Linked DNA regions of Drosophila melanogaster. The protein of the gene in region 1 interacts with the protein of each later gene in a pairwise test. Each region holds a gene or a part of one and is shown in the gene's direction. Other genes may lie near its edges. The genes, in order: CG7135, CG13358, CG1504 and CG10283.

What was found.
Region 2: the proteins of CG7135 (region 1) and CG13358 interact in a two-hybrid assay, tested with the Drosophila melanogaster proteins (one large-scale study listed by BioGRID).
Region 3: the proteins of CG7135 (region 1) and CG1504 interact in a two-hybrid assay, tested with the Drosophila melanogaster proteins (one large-scale study listed by BioGRID).
Region 4: the proteins of CG7135 (region 1) and CG10283 interact in a two-hybrid assay, tested with the Drosophila melanogaster proteins (one large-scale study listed by BioGRID).

Annotation. Positions count from the first base shown.
Region 1 is NC_004354.4:18,101,800-18,105,898, forward strand, and holds CG7135 (uncharacterized protein), read left to right. Parts: upstream 1-1,853; 5' UTR 1,854-1,881; coding exon 1,882-2,246; intron 2,247-2,310; coding exon 2,311-2,785; intron 2,786-2,944; coding exon 2,945-3,358; 3' UTR 3,359-3,594; downstream 3,595-4,099. Other genes in the region: Taf8 (TBP-associated factor 8), read left to right, coding at 261-408, 469-903, 959-1,087, 1,145-1,419.
Region 2 is NC_004354.4:802,898-806,696, reverse strand, and holds CG13358 (uncharacterized protein), read left to right. Parts: upstream 1-1,775; 5' UTR 1,776-1,799; coding exon 1,800-2,623; intron 2,624-2,694; coding exon 2,695-2,776; 3' UTR 2,777-3,270; downstream 3,271-3,799. Other genes in the region: Sec22 (secretory 22), read right to left, coding at 1-64, 132-212; CG13359 (uncharacterized protein), read left to right, coding at 3,271-3,799.
Region 3 is NC_004354.4:20,327,325-20,332,365, reverse strand, and holds the start of CG1504 (uncharacterized protein), read left to right. Parts: upstream 1-1,993; 5' UTR 1,994-2,248; intron 2,249-2,823; exon of another isoform or gene 2,824-3,203; intron 3,204-3,685; exon of another isoform or gene 3,686-4,151; coding exon of another isoform or gene 4,152-4,588; intron 4,589-4,647; coding exon of another isoform or gene 4,648-4,762; exon of another isoform or gene 4,763-4,922; intron 4,923-5,041. Other genes in the region: CG1631 (uncharacterized protein), read right to left, coding at 4,152-4,588, 4,648-4,762.
Region 4 is NT_033779.5:18,481,460-18,486,287, reverse strand, and holds the start of CG10283 (uncharacterized protein), read left to right. Parts: upstream 1-1,774; 5' UTR 1,775-1,914; exon of another isoform or gene 1,915-1,971; 5' UTR 1,972-2,318; coding exon 2,319-2,394; intron 2,395-4,828. Other genes in the region: grnd (grindelwald), read right to left, coding at 86-320.

The DNA of each region.
Region 1 (4,099 bases):
TGTTTTTCCACTGAGCTTTTCAATAAACTCTTAAGAACTGAAAATTTAGGATTTATAATGCCAAGCCTTGGTTTAACTAACATAAAATCTTAATGCCAGATGAAATATTGAAATAACCAGTGGAGTTGCACTTGAACTCATAAGGAGCGTTGCGCCGATAGCTGTAGTCGATAGTGCCGAACAGTGCCATCACTAGCCGCTAAAGTGGCAATATTCACTGCGGTTTCTACTTTAGCATAAACAAATTGAATTCTGTCTCCATGGAGAAGGTGGAGGCGGTAACAGTGTCCAATGTTGATCCCTATAGGCGGATCCTAAACAAGGTGGTGTCCCAGCTGCTATTGGACAAGGGGGCCGGCCAAGCGAGCAACCACAGCCTGGAGACGCTCACCCAGATGCTGCAGGCGTGTAAGTTGACATTGTGATTACCATTTTGTACTAGGATAATCATTTAGCACGCCATTCCAGTGATCTGGGAGATCGGCAATTCGGCGCATAACTACTGCGAGCTAAGTGGACGCACGATGCCCACCGTGGGCGATGTCAGTTTGGCCCTGATTAACATGGGCATTTCGATCTCCAATTTGGATCCGTACATGCGCAAGGAGACGCACGTGCCCATTCCACTGCCCCCACAGCAGACGCAGCAGCGCCCGCTGAGTCTGCTGCAAGCGGGCATCAAGGCCCCGCATCCCCACTACGTGCCCAGCTACTTCCCTCCCATGCCCGATCCGCACGCCTACATACGGACGCCCACGCACAAGCAGCCCGTAACAGAGTACGAGGCCATCAGGGAGAAGGCCGCCTGCCAGAAGCGGGACATCGAGAAGGCGCTCACAAAGTTCCTCTGCAAGACCACGGAGACGAACAACCTCTTTCCCACCGAGGACAACATGTTTCCTTGTAAGAGGCACCATAATCATCCAGCGAACAATAATTAATAACCATTTCCTTTCAGTAATTGCCTGCAAACCGGCCTTTCCTCCCTATGCAGCCGCTTTAAATCCCACAGATCAGGTGTTTGACTTCGAGGAGCTGGAGTACCACTATCTGGTGGCCAATCGCACAGAAGATGAGCCCAGCAAAGGTGCGTTTCTTTCAAATAGTCAGATGCCACGAGTGCTAACACTTTCCACCCTTTTAGACGACGGCGAAGAGGGCGATAGCGAAAACGAGGAGATGGATGGCGACAAATCCAAAGAGGAGAAGCCCGAGCTGGATATCAAGCCCAATTCCAACACAAACAAGGCCATTTTGGAGAACCCCAACATCGATAATCCCTATTTGCGGGCGGCTACTCTGCCCAAGCGATCCAAAAATTGCCCCACACCCGGAACCATGCCCAGCAGGAGTCTGGCCACCACGGCGCCAACGATACGAACGCCCTCCACTCTAGAGATAACCAAAACTAACCTTTAAGAGTAGCAGGCGTTTTTAATTATGGTTTGAAAATGTAAACACTCCTGTTTTCTTTAAATTTAAAAAATTAAAAAATTTAAAGTGTAGTTTTAGGTTCAAGGACTAATATATTTTATTTTATACTTACATATTTGGAATCTTTAAGTTTGAACTGAAGACATTGTATAGGGCCAATTTCCTCAAAATGGCATAATATTTCGTGTTATATATTTAAATAATAAAATAAATGGGTACTCCAGCAACGATCTGTGCTGGAAGATCTGCAAATCGGCTATGTTCTTCAATCTGCAAACCGCTAATCCAGCGGCAAATGCACTTCCATCAAGGCAATTGAGGAAGGTCCAGTCGTGCCCTGTCCATTAAGATCAATTAGGCAACAAATGAGGCATCGGCAAGTGCTCTCCGAGATTTTGCATAAAAAGCCGGCTGTTCACCGCCACAATTGCAATTTACGGATACACGATGTCGGACGCACTGGAGGAGCCACCATTGTACCTTACGCCGCAGTTCTTCAGGCGCACCCTGGAGCACGGATTGCAGCAGCTGGACCTGCAGGTCATCGGTGTCCAGCTGACCAATCTGACGCGTGGCGGGGAAAACTACTGCAGCAACATTTACCGAGCTCAGATTAAGTATCGCAATGCCGAGAGCTGCGCAATGGAGACATCCCTGATCGTCAAGTCCATGCCGGACGAGAAGCAGGCCATTCTGGCCCGCCTGCACATTTATAACAAGGAGACGCTTTTCTACATGCACATCAAGCCCAAGCTGGAGGCACTCATGTGGAGGGCGGTGGATAGTTTCAGCGCTTGGACTTTGGCTCCCAAGTGAGTTCTAAGCGGCAGTGTGTCTAGGATCCATGAGGAGTAACTTTCGTTTTTCTATTTGCAGGCACTACTATTCCACGACCCAGCCGGAGCAGACGATCATCCTGGAGGACCTTTGCGCCGCAGGCTATCAGTTGAAGTGCCGCCAGCTGGGTCTGGACTTTGACCACGCCGCTCTGGTGATGGCCAAACTGGCCGAATACCATGCCCTCACCATGGTCATGGCCGAACGGGAGCCAGAAACCATTGTGGACCGCTATCCCTTCGGTCTGCTCCACATGGATGCCATCAATTCGGAGCCCTTCAAGCTGCTCTTCGGCACTCAGCTCCTAAAGCTGGCCGCTCTGGTCGGTGACTGTGAGGGATTCGGTGGGATCACCACAAAGCTCTACCGCTACCACGAGCACTTCACCGAACGAGTCCTGAAGGCGGTGTACCCACTGCGCGGCAACCATAACGTGCTCAATCACGGCGATCTTTGGGTGAACAACATATTCTTCAAGTACGATGCGGAGTACACGGTGCAGCAGGTGAAGATTGTAAGTACCAAAAGGTTGGCCACAAAAATTGAGGCTTCCAGCAATCTCCAATATTAGATTATTTATTTCTTCATAAACCAACTAAGAACTAGCAGCTAGTAGCTAGTGTTTATATCAGAATTGACTGATCCTTTAATGCCCTTTTTACTGCCCCTTCAGATTGACTTCCAGCTGTGCTTCTACGGCAGCCTGGGCTTCGACATCAACTACTTCCTGAACACCAGCTTGGAACTGGAGGTGCTACGTGACCGGCGGCAGGAGCTTGTCGACATCTACTACAGGTCCCTGGTGGACTGCCTGAAGCATCTGCCCTGGTCCAAGGAGCTGCCCAGCTATGAGGATATCATGGATGAAATCAGAAAGCGCGAAGCCTACGGTTTCTTTGTGGCTTTCGGATTCTTCCCGCTGATGAGCATGATCGGTGTGGACTCCGAGGACAACTCACTGAAGAACTTTCACGACGAGACATTCGCCAGGCAGAAGGTGCAGCTCATGTTCGAAGGAAACACTCGCACGCTGGAGAGCCTCAAGTGCACCTTGAAACGTCTGGACGAGTTGAAACTGTTCGACTAGGCGGTATATACATAGTTCGTAAACACATTTTTTTTTTGTCTATTTTCAAATAAATTATAAAGGCCTTGTTGAATTTGTACATGTTGCAAAGCATGTTCCAATCAAACCAAAACCCATTCTATTATAAACAAAAAAGCACGATGTAGATTAGTGTCGTGACTATCAGATACCCCTTAAAAATGCACGATAATACCATTACAATACAATATGCAATAAACTTTTTGGCATACATTTTCAATATCGCTGTCTTTTCATTCAAAACTATACTGTATTTATGATATTCGAGATCGTGAGATTTCGATCCCCTCCTGAAAATCTCAACCATTTTAAAGATTATTTCGCTCAGTGTTTGTGTGCAAAAGATGATTTTGGGCATGGCAAGGTAGAAAGAATGTTCGTTTTTTTTTTTTGTAATTTAATTTAATTTACATTAAAAAATATAATTTGTAAATAATGAAATATAATAAATAATTCATCAAGGCGTTCAGATGTTTGGCTGTTGTTTTGAATCGTTGATCTGAATTATTTATAAGCAGTTGAGTTTGAGTTTGAGTCTGAGTTTGATTTTGATTTTGAGTTAATTTAGTTGTTGCTGTTGTTGTTTATTGACTTCATTTCTGATCAAATCCATTGTGGACACATATATATGGCGAGATATATACATGCATATATATTTGCGGATATATATATATATTAATAGATTCATATAAATTATATTGCTTCAGATAATTGTTGTAAATA
Region 2 (3,799 bases), about 17 Mb from region 1:
GGGTACCCAGCTTGCGGAAGAGCATCTTAGCCTGGTTTTGGTAGTCCAGTATGCTGCGTCCGCTCTGAAAGTGAAAGCGACTTAGTTGCGGGAGCGGAACGGAATGCAACGTATTAGAAAGTGATGCACACGGGTACCTGCTCGTCATCCTGCATGGTCCCCACCAGAGGAAGGCCATCGATGACCCTGGCTATCATGGTCAGCAGCGCCATGGCTTCTGCTGTTCCTGGTTACGATTGCTCGCGGAACTACGGGGCTGCGTCTCAAGTCTTCTTGGCCACGGCTGCACTCTGCCGTCGCCTCCTTCCACTGGCTGCTACTTATTCCGATGTGGATCCGCTGCAGTCCAGTCACCAGTGTGTGAAGTTTGTGTCCGGTCGTCCTCTTCCACTTCTTGGATTTCACAACTCAGCCGATCGGTCGGTGCTTGCCGCAGTGCTCCTGCGATGCCCGGGACTTCCAAATGGACTCTGCCTCGAATCGGGAACGTTCGCTGCTACCATGAAAACTGTGTTGCAACGTCGCGGCGGGCGGGTGTCTGGGATTGGAGTGGATTGGAGGTTTCTGTGGATGTTTGTTGCAATGTAACCACGTCACCGGTATGTCCGTGTAAATATACCGAATGGTGCGAGGCATACCGAATACCGCAGAGTATCTCAGAGTACCGACCGCCAACGGTCACATTAACGGAAGTCCATTATACCATTCGTTTCTTCGTTTCTTTAAATGCACGATATGGAAATACGCTTTCAACTCGTTTTCAAGCCAGCATGCCCCTGAAAATGGCGCTTTCGAGTTTCCGGGCTTTCCCGCAAAGCTATTTTCCCAGGTCTACAGCTTTGACAGCTTGCGCTCTGCTGTAATGTGGAGTTTGCTTTTTGTATGCGTGTGTTGTACACAGGATGCGGATTAAGGATCCCCAGAAGTTCAATAGAAGTACAATACTTCGATTCACCCATGAACCTGGCGCCCAGATGCATTGTTCTATAGCTGTTTTGAGTCCCAATCCGACCAATTGGTCTTTGGTATTTTTATTTTTTATATTGGCAATCGAGTTGCGAATATATTATTTCAAATATTTAAATATAAATAAATATTTATTTAAATTATTAACCAACATAAATCGAAATCCCTGGCACGTCGCGCCGCTTTCGCAGACTCAAATCCGCTGGCGCAGATGCCGGAAGTGGGTTGGACCCCCCAAAAGTCGATGACCAAGCCCAACCGGTTCGCCCGCGAAGACCATCCTCTGCATGGACATCCACATCCATCCCCAGAAGGAAAAGTGGTTCGCCCGCGAAACCGGACTTGGACTTGAGGCAGGGACCCAACTATATGGACTACCTGTGGTACTTGGCGATGGAGCTGCGTGCGAATGTGCGTTTCAAGCGACCACCGGAAAAATCTTTGCACTGGGAAAATAATTCATATCGAATGCGACTTATTCATCTATGTATATTATGAATTGAAGCCCTGCAAGCGAATGCGAATAACCATTCCCATTTCTGCTCATACCGAAGAATGCTAAGATATACACAAGTTTGTGATCAAAGCGGGAAAGCTTATGACATTATTTAAAATGCTTGTACTGTGATCTTAAATCGAATGCATTTCAATTAACTCTGAGCCCATCGAGGACTGCGGTCAACCTATTTTCTCATCGTGTGATCGGATCACCCGCAGCGGAATGCGTGCGCTTCCGTTTTGCTCGGCTTGGCCTCCTTCCTCGTTCCGTTGAAAGCAGGTATGTATATATAAGCCACTGCTCCACCTAGAGGCTCCACAATACAAAGTCAGTCATGGCCGGGTCAGTTCGTGCGACGCTCCTGGGTCTCCTCATGCAGATCCTGTGCAATGGGCTGGCTGGTCAGCAGCTGCTCCTCACACGTCCCCAAAGGAGCCTGTTCGAGACTCCGCTGGGTCACGTAGAGCAAGTGGAACAAGTGCCCTCTTTAGGCTGGAATAGTGTTGGTAGTGGACTCGGAGTGGGCGAGTGGCCCTACAGCCCCGTTGGTCTCGGCCACATGAGCAAGGATGAGCTGCTGACCCTGCTGGAGGCCTGGAAGGAGGTCGAGGAGGAATCGGCCACAACAACGACTGCGTCGCCAGCGGATGCCAGCACACGTAGACCTCCTCCGCCTCCACTGCCACCACCACCACCTCCTCCGCCACGACCCACACCCATACCAGTCTCCGTTGCAATCCCGTCACCGGCTGTTCCGCCCTCCGGCACTCCCATTACAGTGCGGCTCCCAGCCTTTGTGCCTGTGCGTCTGGCTGCCGTGTTTACTCCGCTTGCCGGTGGACAAGCTGATAGTGCTGTTCCGTCTGCCAACGGAGTCGGAGGGGCTGGAGGAGATGATTTGTCCACCGATGACGTGACAGATGATGACGGCGTCTCTACCCGGCTCTTTCGCTTTTTGCCCATGCCAGGAGCTCGAACGAGACCGCAATCCAATTCACAGCCCAGGCAGCAATTTGTGGTGAGGAACACCCTGGACAGCGTGGATGCGGGCACTGCCCCTGTCAGGCAGCAGATTAAACCGGAAGTCCAGCCCAAGGCGACTGCTCCGCCTTCCATTCCCAAGTTCCCTGGCCACCCAACTCCCTTCTTCCGTCCCAGGTAAGCAGAAACGAAAGCGCTAGAGGTGGTCATCTGGGCAGCCGGCTCATTTCCCTCCATTTTTGCTCTAGATTTGGTGTGCCACCGAGTCTGGCCAACGCTCGATTCGAGCTGGTGCCCTCTTCCCAAATCATCGGCGACTGGCGGGTGTGAGCCTGTGCATCACTTGACTGACCAAAACGGAGTACCTTCCGGCGAACCAACCAGGATCGAGCTTTTGAAGGAGGCTGTCTTGCTAGGCTGTTTCCACTGTTGCTTATGTATTTTATTTTTTATTGAATAATAATTTTTTTTTTTTTTTTTGTGTCCAAATAGAATATGCAATCAGTCATAGATTAGCGACATACTAACTGCTTTCGAATTGAAGTAGGCACTTTTTCTGCTCCAATGGCCATGTGAAGCCATATATGTACATCTATTTGTATGTCCTCTGAAATCGCTCAGCTTTTAAAACAAAGAGCAGTCTGAAGAGTACATATAAAGATAGCGATCAGCCCGAGTATTTAGCCATAACAATTTATAGTATTTTTCGAATCCTAAGATTGGAATATTCAGTTCAATCGAATATGTATGCAGTTTCCCCTCACACAGTTTTATAAGTTGGCCTGAAGTTTTTGTACAAAAAAATATAAATTTTATATTTAGAAATGAAATGCTCTGCATCTTTTAATGCCCTCTGCGACGTGGGAACGCCGCGTCCGAACTTGCAGCGGTTAATTCCCTATGTCGAGCCGCAACAGGACGACGAGGAGGATATGGTAGTGTGGTGCCGGTCAAATCTGGATTTGGCCTGCTCGCTCAGCGAGATGCGCATACGCTGTCCAGAGCACTTCGATGTCGCAACCGTCGTGGGGGTAAATTCGCATACCGGAAAACTAATCACCCACTTTAATCACCGGAAACTGGGGGATGTGGACCTGGCGCCTCACGCGTTGCTTAGCCGGCGAGACAAGTTCATGGACATTTGCCAGAAACAAGTAATGACGAGTCAGGGCTGCTTGGCGTCAGAGGGAACACCAATCCCCGCCGACCTGGAGGTCACTTGGCAGAGTCATAGCATCATTGACTGCCTTGCTCTCCGCAAGGTGCGTGCAGAGATGAATTTAGCTGATCAGAAGGCGGCCAAGAATCTTGTGGATCGCGTTGAGGTGCACCACAAGACTTTGCAGACGGAGG
Region 3 (5,041 bases), 2.2 Mb from region 1:
CTCGAGAATCGACTGAGCGGACTCGTGTCCGTGTCCCTCATTCAAATTTTCAATATTTTCCATGTGTGCTGCCGGTCGTTATCACGCATTTCCTGCCATTTGCAACCTCCACATCCACATCTACATCTACATCTGCATCTACATATCCATTGCCATTGGCATTGGATTGGTAACGGGAATTGCAGCCGCAAGACACTGGCTACGTGGCCAGCAACCGACTTGACCAATTTGCCGCCCCTGCGGTTCCGGGTTGAGCGCATTAGGCCGCACACTGGGCCGCTGGTCCTGGCTCCTCGCTGGGAATTTCCACTCCGCATAAATGCAAAACCGATCTTGAGGGCACCCCAAACCGAATCGAAGTACAATGGCATGTCAGTTGGGGCAGCATATGGGGCATATATGCCACGTATGACACGGGCTGAAGGTTAGGGGGTCAGCAGTTCAATCAGTGGCACGACGCAGGATACTTACCACACATGTGGACTCATTTCCATATGTGTGCGATACCACTTTCACAGATTAAAATATGATTAGAGTTGGGGTAAGGGTTAATAACCTTCTGAGGAAGAAATATATTTGCCTAACATTCCATTTAGACAAAAACAAACTTGAAATTAATTAATTATCTATCAAAATAGAATCAATTCTTCGGCACAAGACTGCGTATCTACCCATCTCCTTCTACATATCATAGCTTGAAAATTTCAAAGCTATCAATCACATTTGATTTTCAAGCTGACAAATTCCATCTCAAACATAGAATTATTCCTATATAATGCTGGTACAAATGGTAGTACAAACGAGTGCGCATTTCAAATATAGTATAGTATAGTTCTATCTATATATATATATAGATAGTATGTTCAACTATCAAGCTCTAAATTTAACATTTCCTTCAGCTTACATTTCGGAAAGCTTTATGTATAACAAAATGATATCAATCTAACTTTTAAAGTATGATACAACTGCCGAACTTTAGTTCAAGACAAGTAAGAATTTGTATAGCTACTCAATGAACCTTGAATTGAAATAGCCAATAATGCCTTAGGTGATCTCGATAACACTACTGAACATATACTGATTTCACAAACTCATCGCGCACGCCTTCGCAGTACCAATACCCTGCTGATGATCAGTGACAACTGGCTTCCTATCTGACTGACCCCGCCATAATCCTAGTGGCCATATCCGCTGGGGAGCAACAGCATCGCATTCGGCTGTTAATGCCACTGATTGCTAATAAATTGAAAACCATTTCAGCACAGACACGACCCGAAGGCAATAGGTGGCAGAGGATTTGCACTCGACGCCGGACACACCAGCCATCCTCGCATGGGGATCAGAAGCAGAGCAGAGGCAGAAGCAGGAGCAGGTGGACGGACGGGAATTCGAATCGAATCGCAATCGGAATCGGAGTCGAAGCCCCGTCAATGAATATGCAAAAACAAGGCAAACAGTGAATAAAATCAAAATAAAAACCCATTTATCAACACGCATGGCGTGGTCCAGGATGAGGACGCAGTCTATCCATCGCCGGCGTTGGAGGTGGACAAATGTGAGGCGATTGCTGGTGAAGCCGTTGGCCACGTGTTGGCCAAAAGGGAAAAGGTCACAAAAGCAGGTTAAGCTGCTTTTTTAAATAAAGCGCACAGCACGTTAATGCCCGCTGGCAGGACGAAAAGAGAATCCCGCCAGGACGCGGGGTCTCATCCATAATCCTGTGCCACTTACAGCCGGGCCACATGCGAACCACTCCGCTGGCGACCAACGACTGCGGACCACTGCTCCAGCCGGTTCCAGCCGAACGCCACCGACGTCAAACGATTGCCTGAGCCGAGCGGTCACGAGAGGACAACGAGGCTACTTCGGATACGGACTCGGCTAGCGCCGAGCTACCCGATTGGTGACGCCTTCGGCTTCGGCTGGCAATGCGGACAGTGGCGCCGTAATCCGTTCGCTGGATTTTTTGAATTAGTTGCGTGTGGTAGCTTGTTGACATCAGTACCGGGTACCGGATGCGGATGCGGATACGTGCGTGGCCCGCAAATCTCTCGCCAAATCTCGACAAGTCCTAACTTGACGCGACCCGCAGTTCATAGTTTAGAGTTCAGCTGTTCAGCGGCTGGTGTGTGACATCCCCAACTGACATCTTTTTTGTCATCACTCTGTTCTGTCCAGCTGTGTTTCGGTTTTTTTTTTTTTGTTTTATTGGTCCGGGAAATCACGTGTGTGTTGTTTTGAGTGCGAGGTGAGTGATTTCGTTGGTTTTTGTTTGGCTGGGGCCCCCGCAACAGTTGCCAGTTGCGCTTTAAACTACTCCTCAAACTGAGCCGCAAGCCGAACCATCCAAACCTCCAATCCAAACCAAAGCAAACCCAACCGAGCCCAAACCAAAACCAAACTAAGCCCGGCTGATAACTGGCTAAAACCTGACCTGCGGTCCTCGATTGCCTGCTGTTGGTGGAAGGTGGACGGTGGCGGATGGTCGATGTTGGAAGTTGGATGGTCAACGGTTGTCCGTTCAGCTAGTTTTGTGGTCGCTTTGACGTGGTCGCGGGCAATTTGAAAGCCAACACCGAAACGCCGATTACGATAAGTGCAGTCGAATTGAAAGGAGGCGGAGTGGAAATGGGATGGGAATGCGAATGCGAATGCGAATGGAAATAGGAATCATCATAATCATCAAGAGCAGCAGCAGTAGCAGGAGCAAGCAGGAGCAGACTGCAAACTGCAAAGTGCATATTCGCTTTCCGCCTGATGTTGTATTTCATTTTGCCATTCGCATTCGCATTTCGCTTTCTCATCCTTTGTCGTCCTTTTTAGTTTTAGTTGCCAGCAATTGCCGCTGCCAGTTTGCAATTAAAGACCAGCTCCATTCAAATGGCAAAAGTGAGGGGCTGAGGCGCTGAGGGACTAGCTGAAGGACTAACCGAGGGATAACCGAGGGATAACCGAGGGATAACCGAGGCATAACCAGAGGCAAAATATTAAATACTAAATGCCAGCTGCCAAGGGAAAGGCAGTTGCAGTTCAGCCCGCCTGTTGCCGTCGCCTGTCAGCATTTTGCTAAAGTCACTGTCCCACTCGCAGTCACAGTTGCCATCACCATCGCCATCACCATCGCCATCAGCATCAGCGCCAACACCAGCCCAGTCTCCCTCAGGTGTCCTGAGCGACCATCCAGCCACTTTGAGCGTGAACAGGTGAGTGACAATGTGAAAAGGGATCCTAAAGGGATGCTAGCCTGATCGCACAGGCTGATGCCATGTGGGAGGCCCATTCCCGAAAACAAACTGAGGCAAGAATAAAATAGAAATATAAGTGATCCTATGGGGTTTCCAAGCGATGTCATTTATAAAAATAAACCGACTTTCTTGGTACCTATAACTACTGTTACTATAAATTACGTTTATAAACACTATAAACACGTTTTTCCAAAAATGAGGTCGATTTTCTTTTACCTTTTCTTTAACTAGTATCCTAATTGGGTCAAAACTGAAAGTAATTATAATGCTCAGACGTTTTAAGCATGAATATTTAATTCGAGAAAAATGGCAGCCATCTGCTATAACAATTTTCAAAGCCAATAAAAGCTCATTAAAACTCTTCAAAGATTGTGCTACTTTAAACTGTCATTAGTAGTATAAAAATACATCATAAAAGTTTCAAATAATAAGTAAGGCCTATGGTATCGATCAATTTACTCTATTGTAAACAATTTGACAAATTTATAAAGTTTGTAGTCTTGGGATCAGCAGTGTGTTCCACTCATTATCTGTCGCCATTAACTGCGTCCTGTATACTGCTATCTATGGATGCTGTTGACTCGCACAAAAAGCCAGGATTGTCTGTTCCCTGAGGGAGTCACACTTTTGCCGCTTCGGGACATTTGTACACCTAATGCATAAAACAATGTATGTATGTTAATTTGCGCGAATACATAAATGTTGATATCTGGCTAAAAAAGAAATATACTCGGATAGTACGTTTCTAATTACTCTAAGCCTTATCCTGAAAATTGAGTTTGCTGGTAAGGATCCATCTCATATCTTGCCCTCCATAAATATTAGATCCATGATCATCGAATGTGAATATCTGTAAAAACCAAAAAAAAACCGCCTGCAGAGATGCCGATTCAACCAACCCCAGCCCTACTCAAAAAGCTCCATTTGGAAGATTTTTTCTTCCTCCTTTGACTCGGACTTCTCCTCGCTCTGTTGATCCTTATCCTTTTCTAGCAGGAAGATTGTCTCGCCAACGAACGGATTACTGCCTACCACTTCGACCTCATTCGAATTATCTTCGTCCTCGTCGCTCAGCATGAGCCGGTATGTAGGAAGCCCAAACTCTGAGGATTCTCCAAACATATCGTATTCCCTGGCCTCGTCGATGTCCTCGCCGTCGGACTCTACCTCTGAGCCCTCACTGTCGCCCTCACAGCAGAGGATCTCGTGGGCAAGCAGCGAAATAGTCTCTTCGCAGAAATTCTCCTGCTCCTCCTCCAAGTCGCTGTCTGATTCTGCCGACAGCAGACTGTACATGCTCGTCTGCGGACTGGTGTCGGGATCGGCCACTGTGCAGCTCTCATCTGGATCGGATGTGCGGTTCGCTATTAGTGGAAACACATTTTTCTAGATTGGTAATCACCTTCGCTATCGCTAGTATAGTCGTCGCTGGTTAGCTCACTCTCGCTAGTGGAAATATCCGAAACGTCCGCGTTTATGTTGATCTGGTCTCTGGAATTGGCAGGGTCGCTGGCCATGTTCGATTGTGTCTAATCCCGGCTCCTATATCTGTACGTCCATGTGCTGTATCTCTTAGTTTCAGACTGTCTGACTGTCTGACTGTCTGGCTGTCTCCTGGTGTGATGTGATTCTGATTCTAAACTTGTTTCCATGCGTGCTGGAAATGTTTTGCCCGGCAAATGCTACTGGGATTAGTTTTGGGTTTCGGGGCTTGGACTATAGATTCGAGATGGGTGCAGGAAGCGACACTGCCAGCACGTAATGTCCTGGGCGCTTCCTTCCAGGACGGCGAATTA
Region 4 (4,828 bases), on another chromosome or scaffold:
GAACTTGCATAGAACCCGCCAAATTACCCTATGGATCGTGAGTTAATCTGAGGTAATCTTTTGGAAATCTTTGAATTCTACTTGCCTGAACATTCCTTGGCGCACAGAAACGCATCGTAGTTGTGGGTTTGATTATTGCAGACCTCGATGCACGGATGACATCTCTCCGTTGCAACATAGCAAAATTCATTGACCGGATGACAGATCGTGCCATGGCAATCCCTACTCTCTCCATTGGCCGCAGCTACCAAGGAAACACTTGGAATCAACGGAACTCCACCAATGGAGAGCGATAGGGCACTCAACTTCCTGACCGACATTTGAGGTATTTTATAATGTGTGCTTAATTTACTTGTTATGGGTATTTGGTTTTGTAGCGAGCTCGTTCCGCTAAGTTTGATCGAAGTTTACATTAGCACTGTTACAACTTTTTCCTCGTTTTAAGGTTTTTGTTTTGTTATTTTTAAACGTATCCAAAGTATGATTCATACACCAGTAACGCGGCCCAGACGCTAACTGACTAACTTCTTTTTTAATTGCTGGCTTCTGGAGTCTGAGTATTTTGCGTTGCCCTTATACGTATAATCACATGTGTATTGGTGCAAACGAGTTTATCTTAGCCAAGTTTTACAGCAGTTTTCATAGTATTCCGGTTAGTTTCTCAACATTTTCACACATTTTTCTAGGGGATGTCCGGACACTTAATTATTAGGTTTAATTCTGTATTTTTTACACCAATATATTATATATTATATGATTTAATACGCTTTTTAACTTTAAACGTTTTTAGCCATCGTTCAGCGACGCGTTTTGAGCCACATTCAACTCGTTACTGACTGGAATGCCGCGATCGCTCGCTGTTACCAACAACTCAGCACTCGCACCGAGGCATCTATCTCAAATACACACTCATTCGCACCGTGACTTGACTTTTGTTTACCTTTTTCACGTCGATTGTAGATGCAAAAGTATCTGTATATCTATGCTGTGGCAAGTAATACAAGTATTTGTGTGTCTGCGATCGACTGTTTATTTTGCGCTATGAGTGAAATACTCCCGACTTCGGCATACTTTGAACCCGGCTTCAGTTTCTTAAATTTCGGCTGCGATTTGACTTATAAAAATAAATAACAACGAGAAGGTAGTGCCTCAAGAAGTATTTTATAGAGACTACTTGCTCACTCACTTTATTACCCAAGTTATCAATTAAAATAATAATAAAGTTTTATATGAATAAACGACAATATGTTTAAGATAACTTTTATTGAAATTCCCAGTATCCCAATATGAACTATACGTTTAAAGTTTTTTTTACAACATTACCTATTATTTAAATTTTAATTATAATACCTTACTTTCACAACTAACTAGCAGTCGTGATATTTATAAACAAGTTTCTAGCTACACAATTTTTATCTAATTAAATATGATTTTGGAATTTTTTAAGTGTAGCATTTGTTGAGGATTGAAACCTCGCTTAGCTAACGCAATGGTGTATGTCTTTACTAAACAGCAAATGCCATATACATAAATAAAAGAAATACTGAAATTCGTTGCTCCCAACTCATTTTGGAAAATTAAATAATAATAAAAAACCATATGTACATATATACCGTTTAATGAATTTATAAATCAATAGTAAAATTATAACTTTTTGTATTTAGATTTGAAATCTTTTTGAAACTTGGCAGCACTGTTTTGAGTTATTCTCTCTCCTCTCTCTTATTCTCTCTTCCATTGCAGTGCCGCTTTCGAGATACATTTGTATCGGCTTCCAGTTCCAGCGCCGCTTGCAGTATTATTGTGTCTTCCAGTTAGCTGGACTGTATGGCCAAGTCAAACAACATCCATTCGCTGAGCGGCTTTCGCTGTTGAATGAGCTGTTTTGCTGCTTTCGTGGAACGACGGCCGCCGGTTCGTTGCGTATCTTTGGGATACAATACCTAAATCAAATCGAATTTTGAATTGCAGCTGTCGTTGTTGCGCGCGTGTTGATGGTGGAAATTGTGGAATTATAAGCATTATATCTCGTGTGGAAGTGTGAAAGTGAAATAGTTGCACCGAGAGCGACGCAATTAGATGAAAATATAGTTTACTCACGCTCTGTATCGCCGCATCTATGTATCTATTTTGCCAGCCCGCTTCAACAAGTAAACCAACATAAATTAAAAATCAGTGGAGTGGAAGGCGCGTCCTTGAGCTACCCAATTTAAACACCTGTTTTAGAACGAGATACAGATATTCTATAGAGATTTGAGCCACCGAAAGAGACAGCCAGAGCCTGTTAGAAAGAGAAGGGTGGCGAGAGGAGGAGAGAGATGAATAATTTCACAACCACAACAGCAGCCGCACCACCAAAGGAAGCGCTGCCCCGATCAGGACATGTTAATGAGGGTAAGCATGGGTTAAGAACCGAACCGAAGCAAACCATTTCGAAATTGGTTGAACATGAACAATTTCGTACGGGGCCTTGGATAATTGGAAATTGATTGGGTTTGAGTGTAGCTATTGAGATGAAGGGGCTTTGGAATTGGGGCGGGGGGGGCATGAGCACCACATAGAAGTGATTAATTTGAGGTCTTTTAAAATTCCTCTTCAACGTTTTCTTCCCCTGACTTGGTATTTCTTTAACGATATGACCTCTCTAGCGATCAAATTAATTTTTAACAAATTTGTTGTATTTGTTGTCATTTATTGTTTCCATTTATTCATAAAGAAAGTCAGGCCCATTGTTTCGTTGAGAATTCTTCACAAAAAGTTCATTAAATATATATTGTCTTTACCCTTCTTGCAAAATTGAATATAAATCAAATTTGGAAATTAAACAAATATTTTTGTCTAATATATGCAAATATAAAAGGTTTTAGTCCACACATTTTATTCAATTTGGCATTTCTTTCAAGACATCACGAATTATAAATGTTCTAACGCTTTTCATACCCCATTCCAATATACATATCCCATTAATTCCACCGATCCGATATCTTTGAATGCCGACATCAGCCAAAAAAAAAAAACAAACACTCAAGTTCTCAGAACTTCTCCACTGTCGTTTGCGCCTTGGGGCTTAAATATAAGTTTTTTTCTGTTGATTCAGATGTAAACAAGCCATATCGAGCACGTTTTCCCTTATCGCATTCTACTTGACCTTATGTAATAATCAAAACATTTGCATAGAAAAAATGTTACAACATGAAAAGCTAGCTTATTCACCTCTTTGAATAAGCTCAATTAATTGAAAGCGAATACGAAATGCTCGATGACAAAGATTTGGCTGTTGTGCAAATCTCTTTTTTGGCTACTATGTGAACAATATTTGTTGTTATGCTAATGAAACAGATTGCCCAAAGAAGAAAAAATAATACACAGAAAACGCGAGCCGAATAAAACTTTCTCCACTCCCAGTAACAATCACAAGAAGTTGGCGAGTTTCCTCATTTTTTGGGGGGTTTTGAAAGTCTTCATGAGACGATAAACAAAAACAAAGACTTCCAGTCAGCAGCCGAAGAAACCGCATAGCGCAGACCAACGACCGAAAGCGGACAAAGCTGTGAAGAAGAGATTTCAGTTGAAAAATAAACAAACACCGAGCTCTTATATAGTTTTCTTTTAGAGCAATTGAGGGGAAGCCGAGCGATCCCCGCTACAGAAAGGGAAAATACATACTCATTTTCTTCTTTTTGGAGGTGCAAAAAATGATTGCCGCTAGCACTTTCCATTTAATGAATGCACCTGAAGAAAAATCAGTTATCTACCATTATAAAGATTTTGTTTTATAAAAGTATATACACATTATACTAGTCTAATTATATATATTGTAAAATAATGATTACAATAGAAGCGCAAATAGGGTAGGAAAAAATAAGTAATACTTGAAGATAAAATTCCAGCTTGATTAATAATAATAATATTTTCAGAAAAGATTTTATTCTTTATGTGTAAAGAAAATCTCGTTGAACTCAGAAATGTATTAAATAAGGTTTATATTAAAAATATGTTTGCTAATTGTTTTCAAAAAACTGTGGCTATTTGAAGAACCATAGACCACCGAATTCGATAAGTTTTTCGCACAGTGCAGAAATGCAAAAAGGCTGTTTCCCAGCATTTGTATCTTAAAGATGCAGCGCGTGCAGCAGGCAACAGCTGACGGTTAGCCGAGGGGATTGCAGCCGCTTCATTTGCGCCCAAGCACGCATGACAAAAGACCCCCACAAAGAGTCGGCCCTTGGTTGGAAATAGCCGTGCCTCCGACTGAAACTTACTCAACTGCTGGCCTCTTTTTTCCCTTTTTTTTTTTGCCAACCAGCCCGACTGACTGACAAGTGAAGGGGCTTCTTGATGAAGAGGGGGCCAGGATAGAAAGGGGATATCGGGGAGCAGCAGCCCCAGCGGCAAGAGAAACAGCAGCAGTTGCATGACGAGCCGCCTGAATGCAGTTTATTTCTTTCTTGCATTTTTATCGCTGCATGCCAGGAATGATTCACTTGCCAGGCCACGATGACAGGATGTGCGAGTGCCAGGAAGGAGGTCTCATCCATTTGGACTTGGCTCTTAAAATTTCTATGGCGATAGCACTTAAAGGAGGCCCAAGCCCCACTCAGCTCCTCTCCTTATTATGGCGCTTTGTCATGACTTGACTTGCGTTGGCCTACAAACAACAATTTTTCAAGAAGCCCAAATAATGGAGTTACCAAGGAGTCCACCCCAAGTGCTGGTGTTTACAAATGAAAGTATGAATAACTAAATTGAGCTATGCAGAATATTTCACTTGCAACTAAGACACAAATTTAGGTAGTGACAAAAATACTGTGGGATTACTTGCTGCCAC